Linked DNA regions of Diceros bicornis minor. The protein of the gene in region 1 binds, or shares a complex with, the protein of each later gene. Links are inferred from orthologs where the notes say so. Each region holds a gene or a part of one and is shown in the gene's direction. Other genes may lie near its edges.

Region 1 (9,696 bases):
AATAACTATAACCTAGCCTTTAGAGGCAACATTTCCACTATTAACATTTGAGTCTATTTTCTTCCAGTCCTTCTAAAATTGGTTTTATTAGCTATTGAGTAATACATGTGTATATATACATATGTATACACAAATATATATATACACATATATATGTAAAATGTATAAAATATATAAAGAATAACAAGGCAACTTGGGGCTGGCCTGGTGGCATAGTGGTTAAGTTCACATGCTCCACTTCTGCAGCCCGTGGTTCACAGGTTCAGATCCCAGGTGAGGACCTACACACTGCTCATCAAGCCGTGCTGTGGTGGCATCCCACATAAAAAATGGAGGAAGATGGGCACAGATGTTAGTTCAGGGCCAATCTTCCTCACCAAAATAATAGTAATAATAATAATGAGGCAACAAACTCTGTGTACATATGTACAATTCAGTTGAATAAGGACATTTCCATTACCTTTCAAGCTCCCAATTTTATCCTGTTCCCCGGTTCATCTTGTACCCTACCCTGTTAATGTGTAATGGCTATCTTGAATTTCGTGTTTATTATTTCCTTACCTTTCTTTGTAATTTTACCACATAGGTATATATCCCTGTATTAGTTATCTATTGCTGCAGAACAGACTACTCCCAAATTTAGCTTAAAATTATAAACATTTATTATCTCATAGTTTCTGAGCGTCAGGAATCCAGCTTAATGCAGTGCTTCTGGCTCAGGGTCTCGAGTAAGGTTGGAGTCAAGTTGTCGGCTGTAGTCATCTGAAGGCTTCACGGGGCAGCAGGATCCTCACATGGCTGTTAGCAGGAAGCTTCATATCCTCACCACACATGGGCCTTTCCACAGGGCTGCCCACAACATGGTAGCTGGCTACCCCAGAGTGAGTTATAAGAGAGAAAAGAGAGTGGTAACCCAGTCTTGGAAGTGACATACCATCAATTCTGCCATTTGCTATCAGTCACATGGAACAACTCTGGTACAATGCGGGAGGGGACTGCACAAGAGTGTAAATACCAGGAGGCAGGGATGTGGGGGGCCCATCTTGGGAGAAGCTGGCTACCACAAACTCTCAACAGTATGTTTGTTAGTTTTGCCTGTTTTCAAACTATATATAAATGGAATCATACTGCATTATTCTTTTGCATTTTTTTCATGCAAAGTATTTCCGAGATTCTTTCATGCTGTGTAGCCAAATCCACTTATTTTCTTACTGTATCATATTACTATATATGAACATACTCCTATTTGTTTAACCGTTTTGCTATAATGGACACTTGGGTAGTTTCCAAATTTTTGCTATTACAAGTAGTGCTGCTATAAACATTCTTATACCTGCATCTTGCACATGTGCAAGAGTTATTTTAGGGCATATATCAAAGAACAGAATTGCCAGGTCATAGGTCATGGGCATTTTCAACTCCACTAGATAACAATAATTTTTTTTCCGAAGTTATTTCACATTCTTGAACCACACTTGATTTGATCAGATTTTCTCAATTTTGCCAATCTGGTGAGTGTGAAATGGTATCTCACTGAGGTTTTAATTTGCATTTTCCCTGATAACTAGTGAGGTTAAGCATCTTTTCAGGTTTACTGACCGCTCTGGTTCCGTTCCTCTTTAGCATCTGTGCAAGGGTTTTTTTCCATCTTTCTTTTGTCTTTATCATATTAATTTCTCAGCCTTTTTCGTATGTATGGTATTTAGAGTTGAGATCACATCACACATCTACTTTTGTATACTTTTATTTTTGTATAAGCGTTTCCTCATTGTCTAAATCTCAGCAAACATGTTTTTAAATAGTGTTTTCTAATTTAAAAAAATACAATCATGTTCGGATAATACAGAAAAGTATAAAAAATAAAATAAAATCATCCATAATTTGACTACTCAGCAATAACCACATTTTTGCATTCTGGTATAATTCCTTCTATATTTTGCATGTAATGTACGTTTTTTATAAATTAGAATAATTCTCAGTAAACCTATTTTTTTTTTTACAAAGTATTATGTTTTGAGCATTTTTCCATGTCATTAAATATTCCTCAATTACAATTTTAATGTGTGAATTTAACCCATTTAACCATCACCCTATTTATTGAAATTCTCAGTTTTAATTTTTCTTTCCTGTGTTATAAATAATCTTGCATAAACATCTCTGTGGATAAATCTTTGGCTGTATTTCACTTCTTTTCTTAAATTAGATTCCAATCAAAGATCATTTCTCAATGATCTTTCCAGAGCTGTTTTTAAGGCTCTTGATAAATATTATAAAGTTCCTTTCCCAAAAGACTCTATCCCTCTTTCCAAAATATAAACCTCTCCATGTCCTTTCTGTTCAAAAAGCCTGGTAGGCTCCTCCGGTACCTATTTAGTGTCCTGCGCAGTCGAATACACACATACATTCAGTCTCCTCCACCACATTCTACTCTCAGCCATCCCACTTTATTTCTAGGACACACCATGGGCTCTTGCATTAAACCTCCGTGGCTTTGCTCAGGTGGTGCCTTCCACCTAAAATGCCCCTTACCTCCTTTCTCTCCCAGGCAAAATCCTATTCTCCCTTTAAGGGCCAGTTCAATAAAAACCATGTTTCTGGGCAGAGTTGATCTGCCCTCTGCTGGGCTCCCAAAGCACATCATAGACTTCCATAAGGATAATTTTCACATTGAAATAATTGTGACACCACAGGTTTTAAAAGTGGAAATCAGATCATGTCCTGCCCAGTTTAAAACCCTTCCATGGAATATAATAGAAAGTTCAGAAATTGACCCAAATACCGTTGGGAACGTAGATTATGACAATGGAGACATTTCAAATGAGTTGGGAAAAGATGATAATATTGAGATAACTAGGTAGTTATTTGGAAAAATTTTTTGGATTCCTGTCTCAGACCTTAAAACAAAGTAAATTTATGATGGAACAAGGATTAAAATGTAAAATATGCAACCATGTAAAAACTAGAAGAAAACAGAGAATTATTTGTATAATATCAAACTGGAGAGGGTCTTCCTAAGAATGGCATAGAACCCGGAAGCCACAAAGGAAAAGACTGATACATTAGAATACATACAAAATAAAAGTTTTTCCATGGTAATAAATAATAAACTGGAAAAATATTTACAACCTCCATATAGAAAAAAAGGATCAAATTTTCTATAAATCAATGAGTAAAAAGTTCAACAGAAAGCCCAACTGAAAAAAGGGCAAATGAAATGAACAGAGAATTCATTAGAACAAGACTCCTCCCCCAAAAGACTCACAAATATGAAAAATTAGTCAACTTCACTCTTAATAAAAATAAAAATAAAAAATGAAAGTGTCTCCGTTTTTATCTATCTGATTGGCAAAAATAAAAAGCTTTGATAACACTGTATAGTTCAGGATGTGAGGAAATAGGCACTCTCATATTTTATTTGTGGGAGAACAAACTGGTACAACTCCTATATAGAGCACTTTGCCAATATCCATTAAAACGCAACGAAAACATTCTTGTTTATTGGTGATTCCACTTCCAGGGATTTACCCAACAGATAAACTGCCACATGCAAAATAAGGAATGGACAAGTTATAACTTTATTCGTAATAGGAAAGGACTGGAAACTACCTAAGTATTTCCAAATAGGGGATTGGGCAAGGAAATTATGACATGTCTTTACAAAGTTGTGCATTAATTTAAAAAATTGAGGCAGACCCAAAATACAGAGCTCATGGAAAAAGCAAGATGTGAAGTGTTTATAGCAAGCTACCATTTGTGTGAAACATTTATACACATAAATTTGCTTGTGAACACAGCAACCATCTCTGAAAGACTACAGAAGGAAGGGGTTAAGAGTGATGACCTCGGCCAGGCCCCGTGGCTTAGCGGTTAAGTGCACACGCTCAGCTACTGGTGGCCCAGGTTCGGATCCCGGCGCGCACCGAAGCACCGCTTCTCCGCCCATGCTGAGGCCGCGTCCCACATACAGCAACTAGAAGGATATGCAACTATGACATACAACTATCTACTGGAGCTTTGGGGGAAAAAAAAAGGAGGAGGATTGGCAATAGATGTTAGCTCAGAGCCGGTCTTCCTCAGCAAAAAGAGGAGGATTCGCATGGATGTTAGCTCAGGGCTGATCTTCCTCACAAAAAAAAAAAAAAAAAGAGTGATGACCTCTGTGAGGGGAACAGGGGACTGGAAAGCAGGGGTGGGAAGAGGACTTTTTCATCCTATGCTCTTTGGTATATTTTTAATATTTGGTGTTCCTGTATACGTACCTATTTTTAATCAATTACATTAACATAAAATAAAACACCTTTCAGTGTTTAGAATCAAGCGCAACTCACTTCCATGGTCAGCTTTCCAACTTCCTCTCACACCGTATTTGCCCTCCCTCACTACCTTCCAGTCACATTGCTTCTGGAACATGCCAAGACCTTCCTGCCTCAGGACATTTTGCACAAGCTGTTCCCTCTGCCTCTGTTGGTGTTCTCTAGGCTCTTCCCATGAGTTGGCATTTTCTTATATTTCAAGTCTTGTGTTCCATGTCATCTCTTCAAAGATGCCATCCTTGGCTACCCTGCAAAACAATTGTTGAAAAAATGCCTCCCTCCCTCACTGGGCACGGAAGGCTGGGCTTACTTCCCTGAGCCTCAGTCTAAAGCAGCACCTCTCCCTTCACCCTCTTTACAACAATGCCCTGATTTATTTTCTTCATAGCACTAGTCACTATTTGAAATTACCTCGTTTGTGTAGTTTCTTAGTTGTTTACTGTCTCTCTCCATCTCAAGGGTTTAAATCTCAATGAAAGCAGGGACTATGGCTTGTCTTGTTCCTAAATCTACCTTCAGCAACCCAAACAATAAACATTTGTTGAGTGAATTTATGCAGCACATCCTATGGACGGTGCACTCTTCTATGGACTTTACAAATAACTCTTTTAATCCTCACAACAACGCAATGAGGGAGGTTGTTTTTTACCCATTTTAGAATTAAGGAAATTGAGGCACACAGCAGTTGAGTGACTTGCCCAACTGGCAGAGTTGGAATCCCAGACGCAAGCTTGTTAGCTACAACGCGATGCTTTTTCGATCTATAAACTGACGGATGGATGAAATTGACTGAATGGAAACGTGAACGTAAACGTGGATTTTTTTTTGCGTCTCGGGATTCCCCAGCTCTACAGCAAGGGGGCGCTCTCTCCCAGGTCTTGACGCCAGTCCTCAAGGCGCGCACTCCCTGTGCGTCTCGGGCTCGCGCGCGCTACCGCGGCACCGGAAGTGACTGAGCTTGCAAGTTCCCCCGGTCTCTTCAGGGGAAACTGAGGCCGGCTCGTTCGGAAGAGACAGCGCGAGCCGTCAGCCAGGTAGGCCGGCCCGGGTCCGCGGCGCGGAACTCGGCCGCGAAGAACCCTCCCGTCTGGAAACGACTTGGCCGATGAAGGGGGGATGTGGCCCCCCACGGCTGGCGGGGCGCGCAGGTGAGAGCGCCGCCTCCCCTACGCGTGGCAGGCGCTGCGCCCAATGAGAGCCCTCGCCGTTCCGCTTCCGTGCCGTCTGGGCTCGCTGATTGGCTACGCTGGGGCGGGCCGCCGGGGGCGAGACCCCTCCTCCCAGAAAGGTCTAGGGGGCGCCCCTGAGGGAGAGCGGTTGCCTAGCAACGGGGCGGTGGCCCGGCGGGTACCCGGCCCAGCGCGCGCGCGAAGCCGCGAGGCCGCAGCCCACCCACCGCGGCCGCCGGAGAGGTGCTGCCCCCGGCCCCCAAGCCCTCCTGGGGGCGGCACGAATCTGCCTTGGGCCTTCTCCCAGGAAAACGTGGTCTTAGCCGTGGGGGGCCTCGAGCAGGCCTCGACCCCTCTCCCTGACCCGAGGAGAGGCCCGGCGCCTCGCCCTCAGCCGGTCTTTGTGCAGGGTGCCGGCGGCCATTGTGTCCGTGCCGGGAATGGAGGACCCGGCAATCCTCCATTGCCACCGCCACGTCCAGGGCCTTTGGGGAATTCAAAGAAAACCGGCGGCGTTTCTGGGAGGTCCCCGGCCTTCAGCCTCCCAGAAAGGCCTGGGGATGGCCTTTCCGAAGTCACACCGCAGATCCGAGGCAGTTTCCCCCTCCCTCCGTCCCTCATCGAAACCTTGAGCCCCATTGAGAAGTCCCTTCAGGGTTTCGGAAGCCTCACCCTGGGCTGGTACTTAAATAGGAAAGAAAAAAAAAAAAACAAAAACAAACCCTAAACCCCACACCAGCCACCTCCGGGAGAGTTCTCCTGGCTCCCAGTAGGAGGCGGAGAGCCAAGGGGCGTGCAAGAGCGAGGGGGCTGGGCTCCCGGGTGGCAGGAGGCCGCGGCTGCGAGCGGCCGCCCTCGATCTGGGCGATGGAGGAGGAAGCAGGCGAGGGGGCCGGTTCCTGAGCTTCGTAATTCCTGTGTCGCCTTCTGGGCTCCCAGCCTGCCGGGTCGCATGATCCTTTCAGCCCGAGCTGGTTTTTTTGCCAGCCGCCGCGAGGCCGGCTGAGTTACCGGCATCCCGGCTGCCACCTCCTCTCCCGACCTGTGATACAAAAGATCTTCCGGGGGCTGCACCTGCCTGCCGTCGCTTGAGAGGGATTTGAATGTAGGTGGTGCGGAGGCGGGGGTAGGGGCCCGACTGCCCAGGGGGGTGATTTTCCGAGGAAGGCATTTCGGAGAAAAAGGGGTGGCTGGCGTAAAAAAGGCCGGTGTGATGATTCAGAGCCCACTGGTGCTTTCAGTTTGACTTCATTGAAGTCTCCTGGAAGCTAGACCAGACCTTCAGAAGAGCCACAAAGAAACCAGTTCTGGTACCTGGAGGGGGAATGGGATGTTTGTAGGGTAAATGGCATGCATATTAATTTTTTTTTCCTGAAGCTCTTTCTCTCCCTTCAGAACCTTATCTTGGCTTTGGATCTCAGAAGAGAAGCACCAAGCAGAGACCAGACTCTGTGAGTGAGCAGGTGTTTTGGACAATGGACTGGTCGAGCCCATCCCTATTATAAAAATGTCTCAGAGCAACCGGGAGCTGGTGGTTGACTTTCTCTCCTACAAGCTTTCCCAGAAAGGATACAGCTGGAGTCAGTTCAGTGATGTGGAAGAGAACAGAACTGAGGCCCCAGAAGGGACTGAATCAGAGATGGAGACCCCCAGTGCCATCAATGGCAACCCATCCTGGCACCTGGCGGACAGCTCCGCGGGGAATGGAGCCACTGGCCACAGCAGCAGTTTGGATGCCCGGGAGGTGATCCCCATGGCAGCGGTGAAGCAAGCGCTGAGGGAGGCGGGCGATGAGTTTGAACTGAGGTACCGGCGGGCATTCAGCGACCTGACATCCCAGCTCCACATCACCCCAGGGACAGCGTATCAGAGCTTTGAGCAGGTGGTGAATGAACTCTTCCGGGATGGGGTGAACTGGGGTCGCATTGTGGCCTTTTTCTCCTTCGGTGGGGCACTGTGCGTGGAAAGCGTAGACAAGGAGATGCAGGTATTGGTGAGTCGGATCGCAACTTGGATGGCCACTTACCTGAATGACCACCTAGAGCCTTGGATCCAGGAAAACGGCGGCTGGGTAAGGACCACGCCCCTTGTGTGTCCCTTTTCCTTGGCCTTTGGTCAGAGAGATCCCCAACAGCCTCTCCCCTCTATCTCTTTATGTTGTGCTGGGTGATTGTTGGAGATGTTTTTTGTCAAGGAGATGTGAGTAGCCTCATTGCACCACAAGAGGTTAACTGTTCTGAAATACAGATGACCCAGATCTTGAAGGACCAGGCATCTTTCATTCTAGTCACCCTCATGACCCCACTCTTTCATACTTGTGTTCCAGTTTCTCAGAAGAGCAAAAGACAGCCTGTGTGTTCATTTGGCCCAAAACCTTTGAGAGTGGGAAGTTAGTCCACTGTTTCCCTCCCCCTAATATAAAGGCTTGCCACGCAAAGGGGGGATGAGTACAATGCCTGGAGAAGATAGTATCAGTGACCCACAAGCTCCTCCATTCTTACTCCCCCGGGATGTCAGTCCTGTCCTGGGCTTCCCTCCCCCAAATCAAGTTCCCTTTTTTTCAGGGTTTGCATACATGGTACTCTCCTCTCAGAACAGGGCATGGCCAGGCAGGAGTTCCCCCTGGCTTGGATGGCTGAGGATGGTCTGATTTTAGGGCAATGTAAGCTGTGCCAGTGGGGCAGTTGTGTTTGTGCTGCTCGCCTATGGTCATTTGCTCTGAAGTGTGCAACTTTCTGCATGGTTGGCCTGTTTGCGGAGCTCTTGCTGTGTCACGCATTAGGCCTGGGGACTTTGCACCTCACTGCCTAGGGTCGGTTGGGGAGCTCTAGCTGTTCCGCCTGTTGCTTTCCGGCCAGGGCCCTGGGGCCTTTTCACCCAGCACTGTTTGCTGGCAAAGCAAGAAGCCGGTCTGTGGGCCTCTGTGGGACATTGAGATTCAGTGACAGACTTAGGAAACAAACTGACACATGGGTGTGAGTCCCAGCCCTGTCACTTAACTAGCTGTGTGACCTTGGACAGGCCAGCTTACCTTAAGCCTCAGTTTCTTCCACTAAAAAAATGGGGCAGGCCCTCCTTTCCTTGCAGAGTACTGTAAATCTTGGAGCTAACGTGAGCCCAGTGACTGACACCAGTAAGTTTGCTGTGGTAGTTGTTATTGGTCCCAGACACTTTCTGGGCCCAGGAGTCATGCCTCACACCTTTGCCAGGGAGGGAGAATTCTCTTGCCCGTCACCAAGTCAAGATGAGATAGTGGTGAGAGATTCTTTACCAGTGGTCATTGTAGGCAATTTTTGCTTTTCTACAGTGGACTCAGTCCTATTTCCTTGCTTATCTCCCTGCCTCCTGCCTTGGGGAGGGAGGTGCAGGACTTATGAGAGGTATTCTGTCTCCTCAGAATACCCAGGCTATCAAGCAGGGTGTGGAAAATAAGTCATCTATTGAAGGAGCTGAGGTGGAAGGGGGCCATTCACCATGGACTCAGGAATGTCAAGAATGCAATTATCCATAGGCTGGGCCTAGGGTGTGGCAGGCACTTCAGTTTACCAGTGAGCGAGAGACCTCCGAGTATGCCCTGGAACCCCACCTCCTGTCTTATTTCCCATTTCTTTACAACTTTATCAACTTTTCCCACTGCCAGTTCTTGTAAAAGGCAAAGGGGTCAAGTCAGTAGAGGTCAGATGACTAGGGTGGGGTTGGGGGAGGTAAAGGCAGAGGGCTCTCTTGAGCTAAGGCTGACCAGATTTGAAAGCCATTCTGTAAATGAACTCCCTGGGGGGATAAATGATTAAATAGTTCCTGTTGGTTTGTGCAATGACCTCTCTTATTCCCTCCTGCTTTGATTCTCTTTGGGGGCAAATATTTGTTCAGCTGATTACAGGAGGGACAGGATTCCAGCGCTTCAGACACACCCTCTGAGGCATCTCCAAGAAGAGACTTTGGCCGTTTGCCTGCTTTGCCTGACTATTGTCTTTGGCCAGTGGTCCTAATACCAAGTGGGTTGTTGCCAGCTATTAACAAAAGGCAATCTGGGAGAGGTGCCTGGTCTGCCAGCCAGCCTCTGCAGAGGGCTACCTGGACCAGAGAATTGCCGGTCGCCCAGTGTTGCGCGTGGAAAGAGGTTTTAGACACAGCAGCACTGGGCAAGTTTATTAGATCACCAGTGGATTGAAATTCCATCTTCCCTCTCTTTGCTCAAGAATTATCAGAGCCCG
Region 2 (10,342 bases), on another chromosome or scaffold:
AGACACTAATGGAGGGGGCCAGCCCCATGGTGTAGTGGTTAAGTGTTCCTGCTCCACTGCTGGCGGCCCGGGTTCGGATCCCTGGCGTGCACCGACGCACCATGCTGTGGCGGCGTCCCATATAAAGTGGAGGAAGATGGGCATGGATGTTAGCCCAGTGCCCGTCTTCCTCAGCAAAAAGAGGAGGATTGGCATGGATGTTAGCTCAGGGCTGATCTTCCTCACACACACAAAAAAAGACACTAATGGAAATTATGTAAGTTATGTTGCTTGCTTTCACTTACGAGAAAGGAACCTGTACTCTCAGCTAGGCCTAGCTATCACTAGGAACTTGACTCATTACTCCCAGCTTGTTGTTAGTGCGTGGAGTCCTAGCGACCCTGTATACAGCAGTGCGGAGCCCTGCCCAGTCTTTTGCTCCATCGTCTCACCTTCCGGCGCTATATCAGACAATGCTCTGCTGCTATTCACTTGGTTTTCCTGGTCAATTTTTTTCAGAAATGAGTGGCCAGGTCCTTCTTCCTAGTCTGTCCTAGTCTGGAAGCTCTGCTGAAACTGGTCCACCATGGGCAACCCTGCTGGTATTTGAAATACCAGTGGCATAGCTTTCGGCATCACAGCAACACGCAGCAGCCACAGTATGACAACCGACAGATGGGTGGTGTGGTTCCCTGACTGGAAACAAACTCAGGCCTCGGTGGTGAGAGGGCTGAATCTAAACCACTAGATCACCAGGGTTGGCCTACTCCCATCTAGGCCTTGGTATTCTTCTGTTGAACATAAACAATCTCATAGAATATTAACACCAGACAAGGCTATTTTGTAACAAAAACATGACCTTTGTTCAAAAGGGCTACAGAGTCAAAAATAAGTATTCACCAAATCTTGGGCCACATAAAAAAAAAAAATCATCCCCTGAAATTGAGCAGTTGATGCTGCCAAGAAATATATTTGAAGAGAAAATTTGCTTAAATCAATGGGTTTCAAAACTTTTTGACCCAGATCCACATGAAGAAACACATCTTACATTGGGATCCAGTACATATATACACGTATAAATCTAAAATTAAAGTTTCGTGAAACAATACTCCCTGTGGAGGCTTTTTCCTTTACTGCATGTGATTCTTTCTATTTTCTTCTCTGTTCTATTTCATTTTTAATAAAGTTGGTCACTATTCACTAAATTGTTTCTCAACTCTCAATTTGAAAAGCACTGTGATACCAGGTCTTGGATATATGCTAAATCCAATTAATTGAGATGGGACTAGATTTAATCTAATTAAGAGACATGAAGAGAACTTCATTTCATCCATTCTTTCAGTGACAATTAAATTTTTTTTTTAATTTTATTTATTTATTTTTTCCCCCAAAGCCCCAGTAGATAGTTGTATGTCATAGTTGCACATCCTTCTAGTTGCTGTATGTGGGATGCAGCCTCAGCATGGCCGGAGAAGTGGTGTGTCGGTGCGCACCTGGGATCCGAACCCGGGCCGCCAGCAGCCGAGCACAGGCACTTAACCACTAAGCCACCGGGCCGGCCCTCAGTGACAATTATTGAGTCAGGCCCTGTTCTAGTTGCTGGGGGACAGCTGTTAACAAAACAAAGTCTCCCACCTCATAGAGCTTACCTTATAGAGCTCTGCTGTCCAATAAAGTTACTAACCATGGGTATTTAAATTTAAATTAAAATTAAATAGAAGTAAATATTCAATTCCATAGTCACACTTAGCCACAGTTCAAGTGCTCAAAAGCCACATATGGCTAGTGGCTACTCTATTGGACAGAGCAGATATAGAACATTTCCATTAACACAGAAAGTTCTTTTGGACAGTTCTGCTCTAAAGGAAAGAATTTTGCTTTGTAACTTGACTAAAGTAACGATTTGTTAGCAGAGTATGAAGAGTCTAGGAAAAAAGAATACAAATTTCTTAACGTATCTCAAAATGAAAGGGTTCAGACCACACACCAAGAATAGTCCAGCTTGGCTGCTTCATTCCTAATCACCTTGTCACAATCATACCGTGCATTCCAACACTCTCTGCCTAATTCCCTGTTAATCAAACCACATTTTCTGTAACTTGACTACTTTCTATACTACATCTAACCAGCTAGGAATTTCTCATCCTAAATTAATGGTATTGTGGTTTGCCAGTCAGTCTCTTAAGTTTGAACCTGAGCTCCAGTGAGCAAAGTGAGCACCTCTAAGCTGAGAGCCAGACCCTTTGCACTGTGCGTACAGCAGGCACTTGAAGCTGCCTATATTTTTCCTTGACAACAAAGTCCTGAGTGTATGTAGGGTGGCAATGAGCCAGTGCCAAGGAGCTAGAAGACTACAGTTTGCTGCCTTCCTTGCAACTAGATGCATCCTTGTAATTGTTCATGGGGCTTCTAGAATATCTCCTTAGAAGGGACACACACAGCTAGAATGTATCCCTGTGGTCCTTCCCTTCTTCTCGCTGCCTGCAAGATGGATGTGATGACGGGAATTATAGCATCTATCGTAGACTGTATTGATGGTGGACCATATTGAAGAAAGGAAGTTCCTGGGTCTCTGATGCCCGTGAAGCCACCATGACTTCATAGCTTCAGTCTGGACTGCATACCCCTGAATTTCTTTTGTAAGAGAGAATAAGCCCCTATGTGTTTAAGCCATCGTAGTTTATCCCTAATTGATAAAATGGCGAACCCTCCTGAGGTGATTTTCTCCTGTGAGAACTTGTGTGAAGAGGCCAGAAAGCATTGTCTTTGAAATCTCTTTAATTGAAAGAAATACCGAGTCATATATAGCTGTAAAATTCAGGACAATCTTAGATTTTGTTAGAAATCACTGCTTTGTAAGGAGTGTTATAAAAAAATTCAAATGATGCCTAAGTAAAAACTAATCAGCTTAGATAAAAGCCCAATCCTTGTAATTTTGACAGTGGCTTGCAATTTGTGGCTAATTGTCCTCTATTTGTATTATTGGTGTTCTAAATAGGTATTTTCAAGGTACAGCACAGATTTTCTAGACCACAGCATGGAGTTTTTAAAATATCCTGAAATACAAATCAGATTTTCCCAAGATTTTATTTTTTAGGATGTCTAGTCACTGACTTGCCATGAGCTATCAAATTTGAACCTGAGATAGAAATCTCACAAGGACACAAGTTGACTTCTTTCAGCGATCCCCTACAGTGCTGTGATTAAATAGTAGAATGTCTTTAACACTAAACTAAATCCCCAAAATATTTCCAAATAATATACAGGATTAACAGAATAGTTTCAGAAATATTTTGAAAAGTAAAAAATTTGGGAAGAATTTGGCATCATTCAACCAATACTTATTGATAACCTATTGAGGATGCTAAGCATTTTTTTCATCATCTTATTTAACTCCCCAAAGTCCTTTTAAGTCAAAAAAATTCCATTTTATACTTAGGCTTGGGGAGGCTGACTTTCCCAAGGTCACAGGACTAGTAACACCTAAAGCCAAGATTCAACCTAGGGTGCTTTGACTTAATACTTCAGGATGTCTTCACTGTGGCTGTTTTTACAAAACTTGAAAAAACATTTTTAATTAAACATAAAACTGGAGAGGAGTAGAGGGAGTAATGTTTGAGGGCACTGTAGGAGTGAATGGGAATCTTTCTGAATAATTTGAGAATGTTAAAGCTGAGGAAAATAATTAAACTGTGATATGCCTGGGAAAATAATCTGTTCCACTCAACACAGTCCAGAAATAATCAAGAGGTTTGAGAGACCCTTCATAGACCACCTGTCAGAAGATGTCCATCTGTCTTCTAATTCCCTTTACCCCATTTTTTAGCTTCCTCCTAGTTACCCAGTGTCCTCTGGGGTGTCTGGTGCAGCCCCAGACCCCATTTTCCCGGGAGGGTCCCATTTCCTGGCTCTTTTCCATTTTGACTCCTCCATTATCTCAGTTCACTGTCCTGTGCCCTGCTCTTTCACAACGGTTGCTCTCACTTACTCTGTGGAATGCATCATTAACGGATTTAGGGAAAACTGTTAATGTGTTATAATTTCCTGATTCTTCTACTAGAAAGAAACTTTCTGAGGGTGGAACTGGATTTAAATTGTTCACCATTGGGACCTCTGTGCAAAACCCAGTGCTAGGGACAGAGTAGAGCATAAAAATACCGTGGAATGGCAAGCTCTCGGGTTTCATATGGCATACATCTTTGCCTTAAAGATGTAACTAAACAGAGAAATTGGTTTCTTTTAGTACTTAGTAACTGGGTCTAAAGTCCAAACAACACTTGGGAGGTGGGAAGTTCCCTGCTTTTATGTTTAACCCTCTAGCATCTGGGTTATAAGTCCAACTTCATCTTAAAGTGACAACAGACCCTTTTTTTTTAATTGATGTTTTAGTAGTTTATAACATGGTAAAATTTTGGATTGTACATTTTTGTTTGTCCATCACCATATACATGTCTCCCTTCACCCCTTGTGCCCACCCCCTACTCCCACTGCCCCTGGTAACCACAATAATTTTCTCTGTCCATGTGTTGGTTTATACTCCACATGAGTGAGATCATATGGTGTTTGTCTTTCTCTTTCTGGCTTATTTCACATAACATAATACCCTCCAGGTCCATCCATGTTGTTGTAAATGGGACGATTTTGTCTTTTTTTAAGGCTGAGTAGTATTCCATTGTATATATATATACCACATCTTCTTGATCCAATCATCAGTCCAAGGACACTTGGGTTGCTTCCACTTCTTGGCTATAGTGAATAATGCTGCAATGAACATAGGGATGCATAGGCCTTTTGGGATTATTGATTTCAGGTTCATTGGATAGATTCCCAGTAGTGGGATAGCTGGATCACAGGCTATTTGTACTTTTAATTTTTTGAGGGATCTCCATACCGTTTTCCATAGCGGCTGCACCAGTTTGCATTCCCACCAGCTGTGTATGAGGGTTCCCGTTTCTCCACATCCTCTCCAACATTTGGAAAACAGACCCTTTTTTCAAACAAAGGACATAATTCAAGACAAGTGCAAAACAGAAAGGGCAAGAGCTCTTCAGCTGTCTGCCTGAGGAATCCACAAGCTCTCCAATACAGGATTCAACTGAGAGAAGGGAAAGCTATGCCAACTCCGTGACACCTTCCTTCCCCCCACCAAGTCCCTCCCCACAAACCCTGCACCCCCATGACTGCTCCCAGAGGCTAGCGGCATGACCTAGATCCCATTACCGGACCCAGCTCTGCCCAAAAAGGCGTCGGAAAACTCCAGCTGGGGCAGCTGCTGGGGCAAATGCTGAAAAGTCCTCTGAGGCCCTGGGAGATCAGAGGCCAGTCCAAAACCCAGGCCCTGCCCTCATCCTCGAGGACAGCCTCACTGGTCCCCCAAGGCCTCCAGGGCCCGACCCTCCGTACCCCCTACAACAGTAACATTTAGCTTCCAGAAAGGGGTGGGAGCTTGCGCGAAGCGAGGCGTAGGGCGGAAGCTTGAAGACATTTCATCTAAGCCCCACCCAGGCTCAGCACCCGCCGGGGCAGTCCCACAGCTTAACGAGGGGTAGCGCCCCAGGCCCCGCTTGCCCCATTCTCCCGCTTAGGGCCCCGGAAATCCTCCCGCACCTTCCTCAGCCCGCACCTTCCTCAGCCCGCACCTTCCTCAGCCCGCTCCTCCCCGCTGCCCCCAACCATTCTCCACAACCCGGCCCCGCGCGCTCCGTGGAACGCGGCATTGTGTCCCCGGGCCAAGTCCCCGGATGCTCGCCTCCCCCCGCCCCCCAGCCCGCGCTGTGGTCCCGCCCCCTGCGCAGCTCTGCGTGCCACGTCACCGCTTACGGCACTTCCGGAGGCGCAGCGGGCGATGACGTAGGTGGACGTGCCCTCTATATGAGGTTGGGGAGCGGCTGAGTCGGCCTTTTCCGCCCGCTCCCCCCTCCCCCCGAGCGCCGCTCCGGCAGCACCGCGCTCGCTCCGAGCTCCTGCTAAGTTGCGCCGCCGTCGTCTCCGTCCGGCTGTCACCATGATCATCTACCGGGACCTCATCAGCCGTGAGTCGTGACTGCACTACGCCTACTGCCGCGCGCGGGGTCGGGGGTGCGGGGAGGACGGACGCCGCCGCTGTCGTGGGCCTGGGGGACGCTGGCGGCCGTCTTGGGAGCGAGGAGGGGTCGGTGCCTGGTTCCGCGCCGCGTCTAGAGCGCCCGGGCAGGGCCGGGGCCGCGTGCGGCCAGGCGGCGCGGGAAATGGCGCCGGCTCCGGGCCCCGTGCGCTCGGTGACAGGCGGGTCTGTGTCCCCGAGCAGATGATGAGATGTTCTCCGACATCTACAAGATCCGGGAGATCGCGGACGGGCTGTGCCTGGAGGTGGAGGGGAAGGTGAGTCGGCTGGGCCGCGGCGCGGGCGAGGCGAGGCCGGGCAGGCTCGGGTTTCCGCCGCTCCCCCGCCCGAGGTTGTGCAATCCTCTCCGCTGCCTCCTGGCGGAGGAGACGCTCTTTCCGGGCTCGGGTTTTTCTAGAAAAGTGGAGGCGGAGCTGAGCCTGGAAATAGGTCCGCCGCCTTGGCGCCCATCCTCCACCCGGGCTCGGGCCGTCCGGGACAGGTTGTCTCTGGTTTGGGAGCCCCCAGCCCTTCAGCGTTTGCCCTGTCCCTACTGGCTCATGAGCCCATAGCAACCCGAGAGCCCACACATGACTTTCACTTGGTGGTGAATGACCCCGTCTTCGTTCCGGTCGACAGGCAAAGAATTCCTGTTGAGTTAAGATGTTTCAGGAATTCTAGGGCTCATAAGTTTTTTTCCCATGATGAGGTTTTTGTGGTTTTCAACAAGAGCCAAGAATGTTTGGAAGGATGATGAGTTCCTGAACTGCTGGCGTAGCCGATTTTTTGGATGCGTTTATGCTAAGGTCAAGGATGTTTTTTACAACTAAGTTATTTTTTCTTAATGCAGATGGTCAGTAGGACAGAGGGTAACATTGATGACTCGCTCATTGGTGGAAATGCCTCCGCTGAAGGCCCCGAGGGCGAAGGTACCGAAAGCACAGTAATCACTGGTGTCGATATTGTCATGAACCATCACTTGCAGGAAACCAGCTTCACAAAAGAAGCCTACAAGAAGTACATCAAAGATTACATGAAATCGTAAGTGATACTGGCACACCAGCTGATGTCTGGTGTGCCTTAGGATTTAGGGTTTGGCTGACTTTGAGGATCTTTAGCAGCAGCAGGTGTACTTGTGAAAGGCCTTTTTTATTGATGAGCTCACTAGGATGGTTGCTTTTCTGTAAATAAACTAATGAGAGTATAGTGGAGCATGCAGTCTGGTTTTAGCTTTTCAGATAGTACTTTGGAAATAAGTTAAGATTCAAAATTGTGAACAGTCTTGAAACATCCATCCTGTGAACTAGTAATTTCTCGATTGTGTCATATTATTTTGCTCCTTGACAGCTAGTTGCCCTTTTCAGTGTGTTTGTTTCTGTTTGGATTTTTTACTTAATGAGATTTATTTTGCTCAGAACTCAATACTTTAACCTATTAATAAAACGTTGTTTTAGAATCAAAGGCAAACTTGAAGAACAGAGACCAGAAAGAGTAAAACCTTTTATGACAGGGGCTGCAGAACAAATCAAGCACATCCTTGCTAATTTCAAAAACTACCAGGTAAATACCTTAAATATTTGGATCAAAGGATTGTACGGTTTTAGCTGTGAGAACAAAAAATTAGTTACTTGATGAATCTTGGATGTAATTAAATTGTGGTTATTTTCCTGGGCTTTTGAGCAGTTTAAATAATTCAGATGCAACTCCAGTAGTGGAGGCTGTAGACAGTAACTTTCCCTGTTCCCAAGGGTGTTTCCAGATCTTGTCTTCTGGTTCCAGAATCTCATCCCTATTCGCTTAGTTCCTCTCTTGAATTGCTTCTTAACCTCCTAAGTGGTCTTCCAGTTTTCTTTCTCTTTACAATTCCTGTATGTCTCATTGCCACCGGAGCTCTTTCTGATCTGAGCTGGTTCTGTTGGGGAACTTCAATGATTTCGCCTTACCTCTAAGACTTAATAAAGAAACAAACCCACCACAACCTGGCTCTTTAATTTTCCAGCTTTCATACATCCTTTGGCCATAAGATAACTCCCCTTGTGATGTGCTCTTTCATTGGTAGCCTTACGTTCCCTGTGCTTGACTATGTGTACAGGTTTGTAGGGTTTGAAATTGTATATGTGGGGTTGAGAGAGCAAGTTTCCAGAAAGCCTAAATTGTTCCTGGACTGCTTTGTACTGTTAATTTTGGTCATTATTAGTGTGTTAACTGGGTGAACAGAAGGTTGACTAGTGAGCATTTTTTCTCCTAGGCATCAGAGCCTTTAGTAGCTGAAAGTCTCTTGATTAAATTGTGGTGTTCTGAACCATCCTTTGTTTTATTGCAGTTTGTTTTCATATGATACATCTGTATATAATGGACTAATTCTGGGTATTGTTTGCTTCCTAAGTTCTTTATTGGTGAAAACATGAATCCAGATGGCATGGTTGCTCTGCTGGACTACCGTGAGGATGGTGTGACCCCATATATGATTTTCTTTAAGGATGGTTTAGAAATGGAAAAATGTGTAAGTATAAGGAAGTGGGTCAAAATCAGTAATGTAAAAATGGAGATATCTTAGGTGTGATTCTCCTTTTTCATGCCACTGGGCAAGTTAGAATGGATTCTACAGCAGTCCTTTTAAAATGTGGGTCTAGGTCTTGTTTCTCTTACTTTGGGAGTCTAAAGAGGGTTGTGTTTCACACAAGAAAAGATTTTCATGGCACAGAGGCTTAGAATCTTTCTTTAGCTAAAGAAAACTTATTGTTGATGGCATTGTAAAGCACAGCTTAAATACTGGAGATCAGAGACAACACCCTATGTTGATCTTTCTCCCAGAAATGGCCTGTCGAAATCAGACTGCCTTTCTCTTCATATTTTGCCACATATATACATGAATATCAAAACCTTTTTTACTTTGGTTTACTGATGATTGACAGCTGGTCATTGAAAGCCTTGATGTTACTAGCTTTTAGAAAATACAGTTTAGAGCTGGCTGCTGACTCAACATGAAAGTTGCTTTAGTAAAATGAAATAAATGGATGAATGTCTGCTGTGCAAGGAATTGCTGGCGGCAAAAGGGAAATGAAAGCATTCATTATGCTAGCTTTTAGAAGCTTCCACCTAAATTAGGATCAAGATAAACTTTAGGCCACACTAAATAAGATTAGAGGCAACAATGGGCAAAAATGTCTTAGGAAAGGACAGATGACTTGTTGCTAAAGGGATTATTCAGAGACTATCTGAGGTTTTGGTAGAACAAAGTGTGTGAGTGGGACTTTGCTCAGAATGAGACTTTTCAGGAAAATGTGCTACCTCTGATTAGTGAAGGTGGTTCTGCACCCACTGATAGGCCTTGAACAGTTTGTTGTTGTTCATTTGGTTTGCACTGGGATGCAAAAGAAGGAAATCCCTGCGCTTTCTGCCTGTCTTCGTGGCAGCTCAGATTGAATAGGGGAATACATCTGCAGGTTAGGAATGTTAAATACTTTTATATTGGGGAAAAAGTGTTAATACAATCTTTCTTTTTTTTACAGTAACAAATTTGGCTATTACTTTGGATCTACACCTGTCATAACTGGCTGCTGCTTTTCATCCACACAACACCAGGACTTAGACAAATGGGACTGATGTCATCCTGAGCTCTTCATTTATTTTGACCTTGATTTATTTGGAGCGGAGGCATTGTTTTTAAGGAAAAAACATGTCATGTAGGTTGTCTAAAAATAAAATGCATTTAAACTCATTTGAGAGAATGCCTCTTAGTTTAATATATACTTAAATGCATCTTGTATAGTGTTCCTGGAGAAGCTAGAGCCTGGTTGTAGACCACTACTAGAAAGCATAAGACTGTCTTCAGATAACTTCTACAGTGAAAACTACTTCTGGGACTGGAATATAAAACCAAGAATCACAAGTCTTAATTCTGAGTTGAAGTAAAGGGCAAGACCATGCTCATAGCAGTGCCTACATTTGAAGTGGATTCCTTACACATTTCATCACCTACAAACGGAAGTAGTTAACTCTGGAAGAGATTACCAAAAGAATAAAAAGAGACTAATACAGTTGGAAGCAAAGTATTGTCTCAGCTTATTTATCATAAATCAAGTAGAGCCAAGTTCTAGAGAAATCTAGATGTCTCCTGGAATGCTTGTCAAACTCCTTGGAATGGGGTTGGCAAACTGGCTTGTCCTGCCGCCTGTTTTTGTCTGATTTTAAGGTGGTGGTTACATTTTTAAATGGGGAAAAATCGAAATAGCTTATAGGATATGAAAAATTACAAAATCTAAATTTGTGTCCAGTTTT
Region 3 (9,628 bases), on another chromosome or scaffold:
CTGGTAGGGAGATGGGGGCTGCTCAGCCCCCGGCCAGCTCCTCATCCACAGGCCCTGGACCAGACCCTGGCCCGGAAGGCCAGGCTGGACGTGAAGACAGGGAAACAGGGTCTCCAGAAATCCCAATCCACGGGGGGTGGGATGCGTAATAGCCACATAACCACAGGGCCACGGTACCCAAAGGGGGGCACATGGTTCCCTGACCTGGAAATGGAAGGCTTCCTAAAGGAGGTGACATTTGGAGCAGGTCTTGAGGAAAGAGTAGCAATTGTTCAACCAGGGAGGGACTGGAGGGGGCGCAGGGCTCTTCCTTCCCCTGAGAAGGCAGGCTCCTCCCTCTCCCTGCCCAGCAGCCCCCTTCAAGGGCAGGTGTCTGATCAGCCTTCAGCTAAACAGGTGACGAAGCAAGGAACACACAGCGGACAACCGACAGACAGTGAATGGACGCGGGGCACAGACACTGTTTATTGAGTGGCAGGTGCAGGAGAGGTCGCTGGCTCCAGTGTAGAAGCGGAGGCAGCAGGTCATGCCAAGGCGCTGTGGGCATCTGGCAACCAGGGCCATGCCTCCCATCCTAGGGGACGGCATAAGCTCACTACAACAAGAGTAGCAAGCAGCCGGCCAGGGGAAGAGGCAGCCACAGCCCCCAGGATCCTGGGCAAGAAGCGGCAGGTGAACTTGGCACAGGGGCCTGGGGTAGGAGGACTGGGGTCTGGGTGTTCTGGGGGGAAACAGAAGGGGATCACGTCTGTGGGGTGGAGTAGAGACTGTGGTGGTGGCCGCCTGGTCCCAGCACCTGGGAGAAGAGCAGAGGAGTGGTCCGCGTCTGGCTGCCCCCGCACCAGCCTGGCTCCCGCCCGATGGCGCCGTACCAGCTGCCGGAGCCTAGGCTGCCTGACATGCTGCAGGCAGAGAAACACCGTCAGTCCCAGGGCAGTGACCAGGGCCACATTCACAAGAGCTGGGGGAGGGAGAGAGCCTCAGAACAGAAACCAATGACCGAGACCTCCAGGATGCAAACTGCATCTCGGGGCGAGAGATGGAGACCTCATCTAGTACAGACGGGAATCAAAGAGCACGGCGGGCCAGGCAGGTGGATGGGTGGCAAGACCCAGGACTAGGTCCCCATAGCTTGATGGAGCAAGCCGGGAGCCCAGGGGTCTGAGGCAGGGCCGGGGCTCCTACCTGGTGCTCTCGCCCCGGCTGTGCTCCCAGGAGCAGCCCTCGTCCTCGCAGTGCCCAGCCCGGTCGAAGAAGTAGGAACGGGAGCCAAAGACCTGCCCGTTGAGGATGCGGCTGGTGCTCTGGGGAGGAAGCCACCATTGATGCTTTCTCCTGCCCTCACTGGCCTCCCACAAACCCTTTAGACCCCAGCCCAGGATTCCATGTCCACCCCTCTCCACAGCCCTCACCAGGTCCTGCGGGGGCCGGTGTACCCGGAAGAAGCCCACCAGCAGTGTGGTGGGCAGCAGCTCCCACACAAAGAGGATGAGGCCAAACACCAGGTAGCCCTTGTTCCCCAGGTCATTCACCAGGTCCGCCTGTGGGAAGGCAGGGGCTTGTGTCAGTCCGCAGTCGTGCTATGGGGCACCCAGATAGGGCCCAGGCCAGCTGGGGACCAGGAGCCACAGCTACTAAGGAGGCGGCAGACGTGCCGAATGCCCACCTGGTCGGAGACGTTGTACCAGTCGTAATCAAAGGCATCCAGCCGGCTCCGGGGGGCCAAGGCCAGGGCCGCCAGGTTGTAGCAGGCCCGGCTGGCATAGAGCAGGACCATGGCGCCACCCATCACGGCTGCCTGGCACACACTGGTCCCCTGGCACAGATGACAACAGGGAGGGGAGGCTCTAGCTTCCTCTCTACCCTGAAGACCACTGCCCAAAGACCCCCAAAGGATACCCAGGCATCAGGGCTTGTGGCCCTACCTTGGCCTCCAGGTAGATGCTGGTGGAGGGGGCCCGCCGGGCGACAAGGCAGAGGCAGGCGGCCAGAGAGAGCGCGCAGATGACAAAGAGGGAGTCGCTCACCAGGACTCGCACCAGCAGGAGGGCCCAGGGCTGTGCCCGGCGCCGGCGGGACAGCACGGCACACAGCACATTCACCAGCAGAAAGAGCAGCGAGGCCCCCACGAAGGCCCCTCGGACGGCCAGCCTGCGGCCCACAGCACAGTCAGCCCCAGCCCTGGGCGCTCAATCACCCCACCTCCCACAGAAGACCCTGGTCAGTCAGAACCAATCCAGACCAATCCAGTCCGAAGACTGCCCCTCCAGTTTTAGATGGGGAAACTGAGACCCAAAGAGATCAGATGGTGACCGACAGCTGTGGTCGAGTGGAGAGAGCACCGGACTGAGAGTCAGAAGTCTGGGTTTCAGCCCTGGCTCTGCTCTCTGCCAGGTCTACGACCTTGAACATGCTGCTTTACCTTGCAGGCCCTCAGTTTCTACATCTCTCAAATGGCGATAGTAAGAGCCTCAGGGGTAAGTTGTAAAAATTAAAGATGTTTGTGAAAGCTCGTCATAAACTGGAAGACGTTATACAAATGACAGGATATCGCCACGCAAGGTCACCCAGAAGTGCAGTCTGGCTTGGGCTGAAGCCTCCCACTCTTCCTCCATCATGGGTGACACTGGTACCCTCTCCCCTCACTCACGACTGTTTCTATTATAATTTTTCTTGACCTATGCTACGCCTCTGCTCAGCCATCCACCCCAGGAGCCCTACTTTTCCAAGCTTTTTCACAAACACTCCTGGGGTGGTCCTTGCCTCAGCCCTGCAAGGGAGGAAGGAATGGACACCGGGCTGCTCCCTGGCCTGAGGGCTGAGCCCACCAGTGTCCCGAGTACTCACAAGCCTCGGCTCATCTCTGGCCGACGCTTCGCCTTGGCCTTGAACACCACCTGGGAGCAGAGACGCCCATCATTCCTTTGGGCCTCTGGGGCTTGCCCCACCACCACCCACCCCCACCCGGGACCACAGTTACCTGGGCAAAGTAGAGGTTCATGAGGGTCAGCGTGAAGAACTGCAGGCAGACAGGGCAGCAGTAGAGAAGCCAGAAGGGGAGAGGCCCCAGGCGGTTGGCACGGGGGGTGTCTCGGAAGTAGAAGGAGAAGAGGGTGGTACGCAAGGCAGCCCAAAGCAAACAGAGTGCCAGGAACACCGTCTGGTAGCTGAGACGCTTGTGCCCATAGAGCAGCACCAGCCAGAGCTGGGCATAGACGGAGAAGAAGAGAAGGGCGTACAGCGTGGTGTAGGCCGCGGTCAGCCCCAGGGTCACAGCAGGTGGCAGGGCAGGCACCAGCCCAGCAGCAGGCACCGGGCCAGATAGGTTACTCTCCATGTCAGGGAGGGAGGCCTGAATCCCGGAGACAGAGATGGAGGGGCTGGCAGGGGGCCAGGGAAATAAATACGGAGGGGTGGGAGCTGCAGGGTACAGAGATGGAGATGGGGCGCTCGCGAGGAAAGAAGTTGCGGCTCACCAGGCCCTTCCCCCTCCACAGAGGGGCCCTCGCCCTTGCAGCGGGGCACGGGCAGCCTGGAGCCTGCGCCCCTCACTCGGGGCGTGGAAGGGCAGTCTCTCCTCTCCAGGGTAGAGGAGGTGGGTGGGGGGTGTCTCCCCTGCACCACCCCAGAGCCGGGGTAGGGGACTGCAGAGGCTGAAGGAGAGAGGTCCCTGGCCTTGGTCGCTCGAGTCGTCCCGGCAGGAGGGGGAGAGCCGGCCGATGCCCGTGGGCTCAGGGCAGCGGCCGCTGCGGGGGGCGTTCAACGCCCGGCTCTCCCCCTCCCCAAACTGGGGAGATCTCTCCCCTCCAATGATCCGGATGGGGAGGGCCTCTGCCTTCCGTCCTCGGGATTCCGGACGCTGCCTCCACCCCACCCCCACTGCGTCCACCCTCCAGCCGCGGGGGACCCGAGGAGGCGGACGCCGGGTCCTCAGGCCGCCGCTGGGGGAGCCGGCTCCGGTCGCTGGGACCCGGGGCTCCAGCTCCCCGGCTCCCGCTGCTCCGCCCCCTCCTGCGCCTGCGCGGGCGCCGGTCGCTACGCAAATTGCGCAGGGTCTGGCCCGGGCTCCGCAGTCCGGCGCCGCGCCCGGCGCGGAGCCGTTTGAGAATTGGCGCAGCTGCGCCGCCGGCGGACGCCAGGGGTTACGAGAGGCTGCAGGCGGCCGAGACGCTGGGGCCGCGCCGCATCCGGCGGGCGCCTGGGGGGGCCGTGCCCGGGGCCACCGGCCCTTGCTTGTTTGAGGGGCCGCCAGTTCCCATGCTTCTCTTCCCCATAGCCAAGCCGAGATCGCTCCGCCCGGCTGAGGGCGGCAACGACTTCCCCTCACCCGGTTCCTGAAGGAAACTTCCGCCCACAGCCAAGATGGCCTCCGGGCCCCGCCCCCTGGGCCTCACCCGCTGTCCCCGCTGTCCCCAAGCGGCCCGCCGCCCCACGCCCTGGCCGGCAGCGGCTCCCGCTCACCTGGGCGGCCGCCTGCCAGGCGCGAAGACCCCGCGAGTCCTACGGTCACCCTCCCAGGGGGCCCTGTCCGCTCTCCTGCGCCGGGGCAGCCATCCCGCCAGGCAGGAGACTGCTCGCTTATCTCGAGCGCTCCCGCGATGGCGCGGGGAGTGGTGCCCGATGCGGGCGCTGCGAGGTTTCCACTGTGGGGAGGAGGAGGGCGCGGGACTTCCCGACCCGGCCACCCATCCAGACGGGGCAGTGACAACAGCGACGACAGTTGCAGCCGGCGGCCAAGCTTCAATGACGGCTTTGCAAAGTGCTTTCACACACGGTTTACAATGATCAGTGGCTCCTGAGGGAGGTGTCATTATCCCCATTCTACAGGGGTAGGAACTGAGGCCAGAGGGGCGGAAGGACTTGTCACCAGAAGCTGGTCTCCAGGTTCCCGGTGGGGACCCCAGAGAATCCCTCCTCTGCTCCCACACACGCCCAGGGCACGAGAAAGCCGGGAGCCGAGCGTCCGGAGACGAGGAGTGGACCCAGGCAGGAAGGCGGGCGGCGGAGAGCGGGTCCGGCGGGGGGGGCGGGGCCGGGCCGGGAGCGGCCCCGCCTCCTGGCCCGCCCTAGTGACATATCGAGAGCTGATTGGGCCGGGTCTGTGACAGTTTCCGTTGCCCAGGCAACTCGGGCTGGGCTCCCTCAGTACTAGAGGGAGGCGGCGGCGGCGGCGGTGGCGGGCTCGGGTCAAGGGCCTCCAGATCGGGCTTGGGGTGAGACCTGGGTGCCGTCACCACGGGCGGGTCAGGCCGGGGCCTGGGTAGGGGCCTGGGGCTGCTCCACCGCTCCAGGGCTCCCCGAGGAGATTTGGGTCCTGGGTGGACAATCTGAGCTTCCTGCCCGGCCCACACTCAGTGGACAGATGGGGGCCTGGGAGGCAGGGCAGACCTGGGGCTCTAAGGTGGGAGAGGGGGTCAGGGGTGCCTACCCTTACCCCCCCACCTCCCCCGCCGGCCACCGTTTGCCCCTAGCCACGCACCATCTTGCCCCTACAGCCCAGAGCATGTTCCAGATCCCAGAGTTTGAGCAGAGTGAGCAAGAAGACTCCAGCCCTGCAGATAGGGGCCTGGGCCCCAGCCCCACGGGGGACCGGCCCTCAGGCCTGGTCAGGCACCAGCGCACGGCCCCAGGCCTCCTGGGGGAAGCCGGTCACCAGCAGGAGCAGCCGGCCAGCAGCAGCCACCATGGAGGTAGGCACACCCCCTTGCCCCCAGCCCAGGACCTCCTGCACCCCAGCCGCATCCACACTCATAGGGTGGCTTTGAGTAAGTCCCTAACCTCTGTGCGCCTCTGTTTCCTCTGCTGTAAAACAGAGAAATTAATCACCACCATTGTAGGGCTGTTGGGATGAATAGCAGGAGTATACAGGAAGCACTTAATTATAGTGCTGGTGCTTAATGAATGCTCAAAGAATGTAGCTGTTAGGACCAGGACAGAAATCTGAGAGGCAGGCAGGGAGCCAGAAAAGGGAAGTTACTTGCCTAAGGTCACACTTGCTTGGCATTTCCTTTCGTAAGAAGCGGGGCTGGAAGGCTCCATCAGCGCTCTGCCCCAGGCTGCGTGCTTTCTCTGGGATGGGCCTTCTAGTCCCCAGGTATGTTCCTTCCCGCCCTGTGGTCACACCCACACCGGGGCTATCCTTGCCCGTTGCCAGGGGCAGGTGACCTCAAGAGGCAGACAGCCCGCCCGGTCAGTGGGTTACTGTAGGGGTGGGGAAGCACAGGCCTCCCTCCACGCCCACTGAGGGCGGCCCAGCGCCGAGAGATGGGAGGACGGGCACAGGAGGGCAGTGGCCATTTCTCAGTGGTCCCACCTTCTCAGTGCCCAGCACTGGCCTTGGCACCTGGAACAACCACAGAGATCTGAAAACAAAAATCACATCCCTCGCGTGCTGAAACCTACATGACCCCTTTCATTTTCGGGAGCAAGAAGGCTTACTAAAGCCTCCTCCCCAGCCCTCCGCCACACGCCCTGTCAGACGGAACTCCACCGGCTTTAACTTCCAGATCTTTGCACTTGCTGTTTTTCTGCTTGAAAAAGCTTTCCACCTCCCACCTGGCTGTTCCTCCCCATCCTCTGTATCAAGTGCTTAATAGGTGCCACGTAGTCTCCCAGCTTCCAGGGGTACATCAGTGACAGATGAGATAAAAATCCTTGCCCTCGTGGAGCCTACCCTGTCCTGGGGTTAGGGGAGGCAAGCCATAAACAAGAAGAAAATGATAGAGTGCATTAGAAGATGACAGCCGGGGGCAGTGCGCCAAACAGTCTTGCCTGTCTCTTTTGAATTCGGAGTACCGGGCCTGGGGGAGTGACTTCAGCTGAGGTGGTCAGGGTTGCCTCGGTAAGAGGCAACGTTCGAGCAAAGGCTGGAAGGGATGAGGGGTGAGCCACGCAGGTATCTGTGGGGCGGGAAGGGTGCATGCAAAGGCCCTGGGGGCAGGATTCACCGGTCCAGGCCAGTGAGGGGAGGGGCTGGGAGCTGGAGATGCATCGAGTTAATGGAGGGGGAGGGGCAGCCAGGCAAGGCTTTGAAGGCCAAGGTAAGGACTTTGGCTTTACTTTGAGTGAAAACATGGGAGGGCTTTGAGCAGCTGCGGGGTGATCTGATTTTGGCATCAAGAGAATCCCCAGGGCCCCTGTGTTGAGTCTGCAATGGGCAAAAGCAGCAGTGGGGCCGCAGCCTGCGCCCGAGTCCCTGCGAGGGAGGATGGTGGCTTGTGCCAGGGCGGTGGCATTGCAAGTGGTAAGTAGCTGGACTCGGGGTTTATTCTGAAGGTAGAGCAGGATTTGCTGCCGGACTGGATGTGAGGGTGAGGGAAAGAGGAGTCGAGGATGCTGCGAGGAATCTGGCCTGGACGCCTGGAAGGACGGGCTTGCTCCTGAGATGGAACTGAGATATGGGGGGACAATCAGGAGCCCAGCTGGGCCAGGTCAGCTTAGAGGTGCCTTTTTGGCATCCAGGTGGAGATTTCTAGTAGGGATGGGTCCAGGCAGGATTCGTGCACGTGGGAGTTGTTAGTCACCGACGGCCTGTTCTGTGAGGCCCAGGGAGCCAGTGTGGACAGGAGGGGACCTGGACTGAGCCGGGGGCTCCAGCCTTCAGAGGGCAGCAGAAGAGGAGGAGCCGGCCCTGGGGACTGAGAAGGAGGGAGCAGCGGGGTGGGAGGGAAACCCAGAGCATGCAGGGCCCAGGGAGGCGTATGGGGCTCGTAAGGAGTGGGGCTCTGGACCCACGATGCTCCTGGGAGGGCCGCTCACTGGAGGAGGGCTGGGAATGGGGCGCTGACGTTGACAACTTGGGGCCACCGCAATGGTGGGGAGGCGGCGGAAGGCTGACCTCAGTGGGGAGGGACAATGGGAAGAGAGCTGGAGACAGGAGAGAGCCCGCTCTCAGCAGCTGTCCTCCGGTATCGAGGAGCCAAGGGGTGGGCGGCAGCTGAAGGCCCGAGGCGAGGCAAGGAAGTGTTGTGTTTTTTTTTTTAAGATAGAAAGGGAAAAGAAAATAACATGTTTATAAGCTGATGGGAGTAATCCAGGAGCGAGGGAAATACGGGATGTTGCAGGAGAGAGGGGAGACTTGCCGGAGAGATGTCCTTGAGTGGGAGACGGGGGTCTGCTGCCCAGCAGAGGGGCAGCTCAGCTAAGAGCAGGGCAGTGGACATGGGCGGTATATACCTCGTGGAAACTAGACGTTTCTCTTGTGGGTGCTTTCAATTTCTCAGTAAAAGGTCACAGGCCAGGAGCGAGAGTGGGGCAAGGGTTGGGGGCTGAGGGGAGAGAGGAGCAGTTTTGAAGTGGTTGCCGTCCTGACAGGCAGGAGGTGGTGGTGAGCCCGTGGGAGGCCTGGGATGGAGTTATTGATGTGACAGGCCCAGGTCCTGCCCGCGGGAAAGAGGAGGAGGGGAGGGGAGGGGAGGGGGGCGAGGGCAAGGAAGGAAAGGCTAGGAGGTGGGAGGGACCACTCTGGTCCATGAATGAAGTGAGACAGGAGGGGTGATGGACAGAGTGCTCCTGCACAAACTGGGGGCGCCACCTGGGCAGGGGGGCACCTGAGGCATGGAGTGGGGGATGGCACACCCAACAAACTAGATTCAGTGGGGGGGAGAGTGATCTGAAGAGCAGTAAGGAGCCCAGGGGACATCTACCCCAGCTCCAGACCCAGCCGTGGGGAGGGCTGCAGGAGAGAAGAAAGCCACTGTTTGAGAGGACCACACAGGACTTCTTAAACTTTTGACTTAGTTTTCAGTGTCTAAAAAGCAAGTGATTTTTCCATAAAAGATCCACAAGTGCCAATGACCTGCCAGAGCCACAGGGCCACTGCCCCCTCCGGGTGGGCAGGTTCCCGTCATTCTTCATCTTCCCTGCCACCTGGCCCCTGCTGGATGGACTGTAAGGGTTCCCAGGGCAGGGACTGTGGCCAGGTTGAGCTTGAGCAGGTTAGTTAACTCACCCTGCCTCAGTTTTCTTATCTGTAAAATGGGCATAGAACTAGTCCCACCTCACAGGGTCATAGTGAGGATCTGCTGAGTTAATACAGGAACAGTGCCTGGCACAGGGGAGTCTTTGCGGTTCTTACTATTATTGCGATTGTTGTTGTTATTGTTACTATGCATTGTCCCAGGCTCTGAGCAGTCCTGGGGACTGCCATTGATTCAGTGGGGACAGAGACGTGAATAACCAGTGCCCTCCTGATGGCAGACATGTGAAGTATAGGTTAGAACCAGAATGTAAGGGCCTTGCAGGCCATGCCAAGGAGTTTGGGCTTTATCTCATAGGCGATGGGGAGCCATTGAAGGTTTCAGGCAGAGGACAGACAGACACAGTCAGGTTTAGAGCAGCGTTTGGCAAACCACAGCCACAAGCTAAATCCCTCTTCTTTTGTACAGCCCATGAGCTAAGAATGGTTTTGACATTTTTAAATAGTTGACAAAAATCCAAAGAACATTATTTCATAACAAATGAAAATTATATGAAATTCCGATTTTAGTGTCCCTAAATACAATTTTAGTGGAATATAGCAACACACAGTCATTTCTGTCTTGTTTATGGCTTCTTTCAAGCTATGACCACAAAGTTGAGTGACTATGGCAGAGACTTTGCGGCCTGCAGTGCCCAAAATATTTACTGT

The links.
Region 2: the proteins of BCL2L1 (region 1) and TPT1 are in contact, whole or in part, in a crystal structure (PDB 4Z9V), measured with the Homo sapiens proteins. The link is inferred for Diceros bicornis minor from reciprocal best matches to the Homo sapiens genes BCL2L1 and TPT1. Residues at the interface, in NP_001304848.1 of Homo sapiens: Ala93, Glu96, Phe97, Arg100, Tyr101, Ala104, Phe105, Leu108, Gln111, Ser122, Gln125, Val126, Glu129, Leu130, Asp133, Asn136, Gly138, Arg139, Val141, Ala142, Phe146, Leu194, Tyr195, Ala199, Ala200, Ser203; in NP_003286.1 of Homo sapiens: Phe14, Asp16, Ile17, Lys19, Ile20, Arg21, Ile23, Ala24, Asp25, Gly26, Leu27, Cys28, Leu29.
Region 3: the proteins of BCL2L1 (region 1) and BAD are in contact, whole or in part, in a crystal structure (PDB 2BZW), measured with the Mus musculus proteins. The link is inferred for Diceros bicornis minor from reciprocal best matches to the Homo sapiens genes BCL2L1 and BAD. Residues at the interface, in NP_001276645.1 of Mus musculus: Ala93, Glu96, Phe97, Arg100, Tyr101, Arg103, Ala104, Phe105, Leu108, Gln111, Leu112, Gln121, Ser122, Gln125, Val126, Glu129, Leu130, Arg132, Asp133, Asn136, Trp137, Gly138, Arg139, Val141, Ala142, Phe146, Asp193, Leu194, Tyr195, Gly196; in NP_031548.1 of Mus musculus: Ala137, Leu141, Ala143, Ala144, Gln145, Tyr147, Gly148, Arg149, Leu151, Arg152, Met154, Ser155, Asp156, Glu157, Phe158, Glu159, Phe162, Lys163.

Annotation. Positions count from the first base shown.
Region 1 is NC_080758.1:27,764,710-27,774,405, forward strand, and holds the start of BCL2L1 (bcl-2-like protein 1), read left to right. Parts: upstream 1-5,265; 5' UTR 5,266-5,347; intron 5,348-5,358; exon of another isoform or gene 5,359-5,461; intron 5,462-5,745; exon of another isoform or gene 5,746-6,587; intron 6,588-6,680; exon of another isoform or gene 6,681-6,792; intron 6,793-6,859; exon of another isoform or gene 6,860-6,877; 5' UTR 6,878-6,989; coding exon 6,990-7,553; intron 7,554-9,696. UniProt on the Homo sapiens protein: Potent inhibitor of cell death. Inhibits activation of caspases. Appears to regulate cell death by blocking the voltage-dependent anion channel (VDAC) by binding to it and preventing the release of the caspase activator, CYC1, from the mitochondrial membrane.
Region 2 is NC_080748.1:31,403,013-31,413,354, forward strand, and holds TPT1 (translationally-controlled tumor protein), read left to right. Parts: upstream 1-5,877; 5' UTR 5,878-5,983; coding exon 5,984-6,011; intron 6,012-6,265; coding exon 6,266-6,339; intron 6,340-6,911; coding exon 6,912-7,102; intron 7,103-7,515; coding exon 7,516-7,621; intron 7,622-8,447; coding exon 8,448-8,564; intron 8,565-9,373; exon of another isoform or gene 9,374-9,503; intron 9,504-9,573; coding exon 9,574-9,576; 3' UTR 9,577-9,782; downstream 9,783-10,342. UniProt on the Homo sapiens protein: Involved in calcium binding and microtubule stabilization. Acts as a negative regulator of TSC22D1-mediated apoptosis, via interaction with and destabilization of TSC22D1 protein.
Region 3 is NC_080770.1:8,706,647-8,716,274, forward strand, and holds the start of BAD (bcl2-associated agonist of cell death), read left to right. Parts: upstream 1-5,163; 5' UTR 5,164-5,213; intron 5,214-5,495; 5' UTR 5,496-5,503; coding exon 5,504-5,690; intron 5,691-7,072; exon of another isoform or gene 7,073-7,152; coding exon of another isoform or gene 7,153-7,243; intron 7,244-9,628. Other genes in the region: integral membrane protein GPR137, read right to left, coding at 385-796, 1,186-1,304, 1,413-1,541, 1,667-1,816, 1,926-2,151, 2,848-2,897, 2,981-3,337. UniProt on the Homo sapiens protein: Promotes cell death. Successfully competes for the binding to Bcl-X(L), Bcl-2 and Bcl-W, thereby affecting the level of heterodimerization of these proteins with BAX. Can reverse the death repressor activity of Bcl-X(L), but not that of Bcl-2.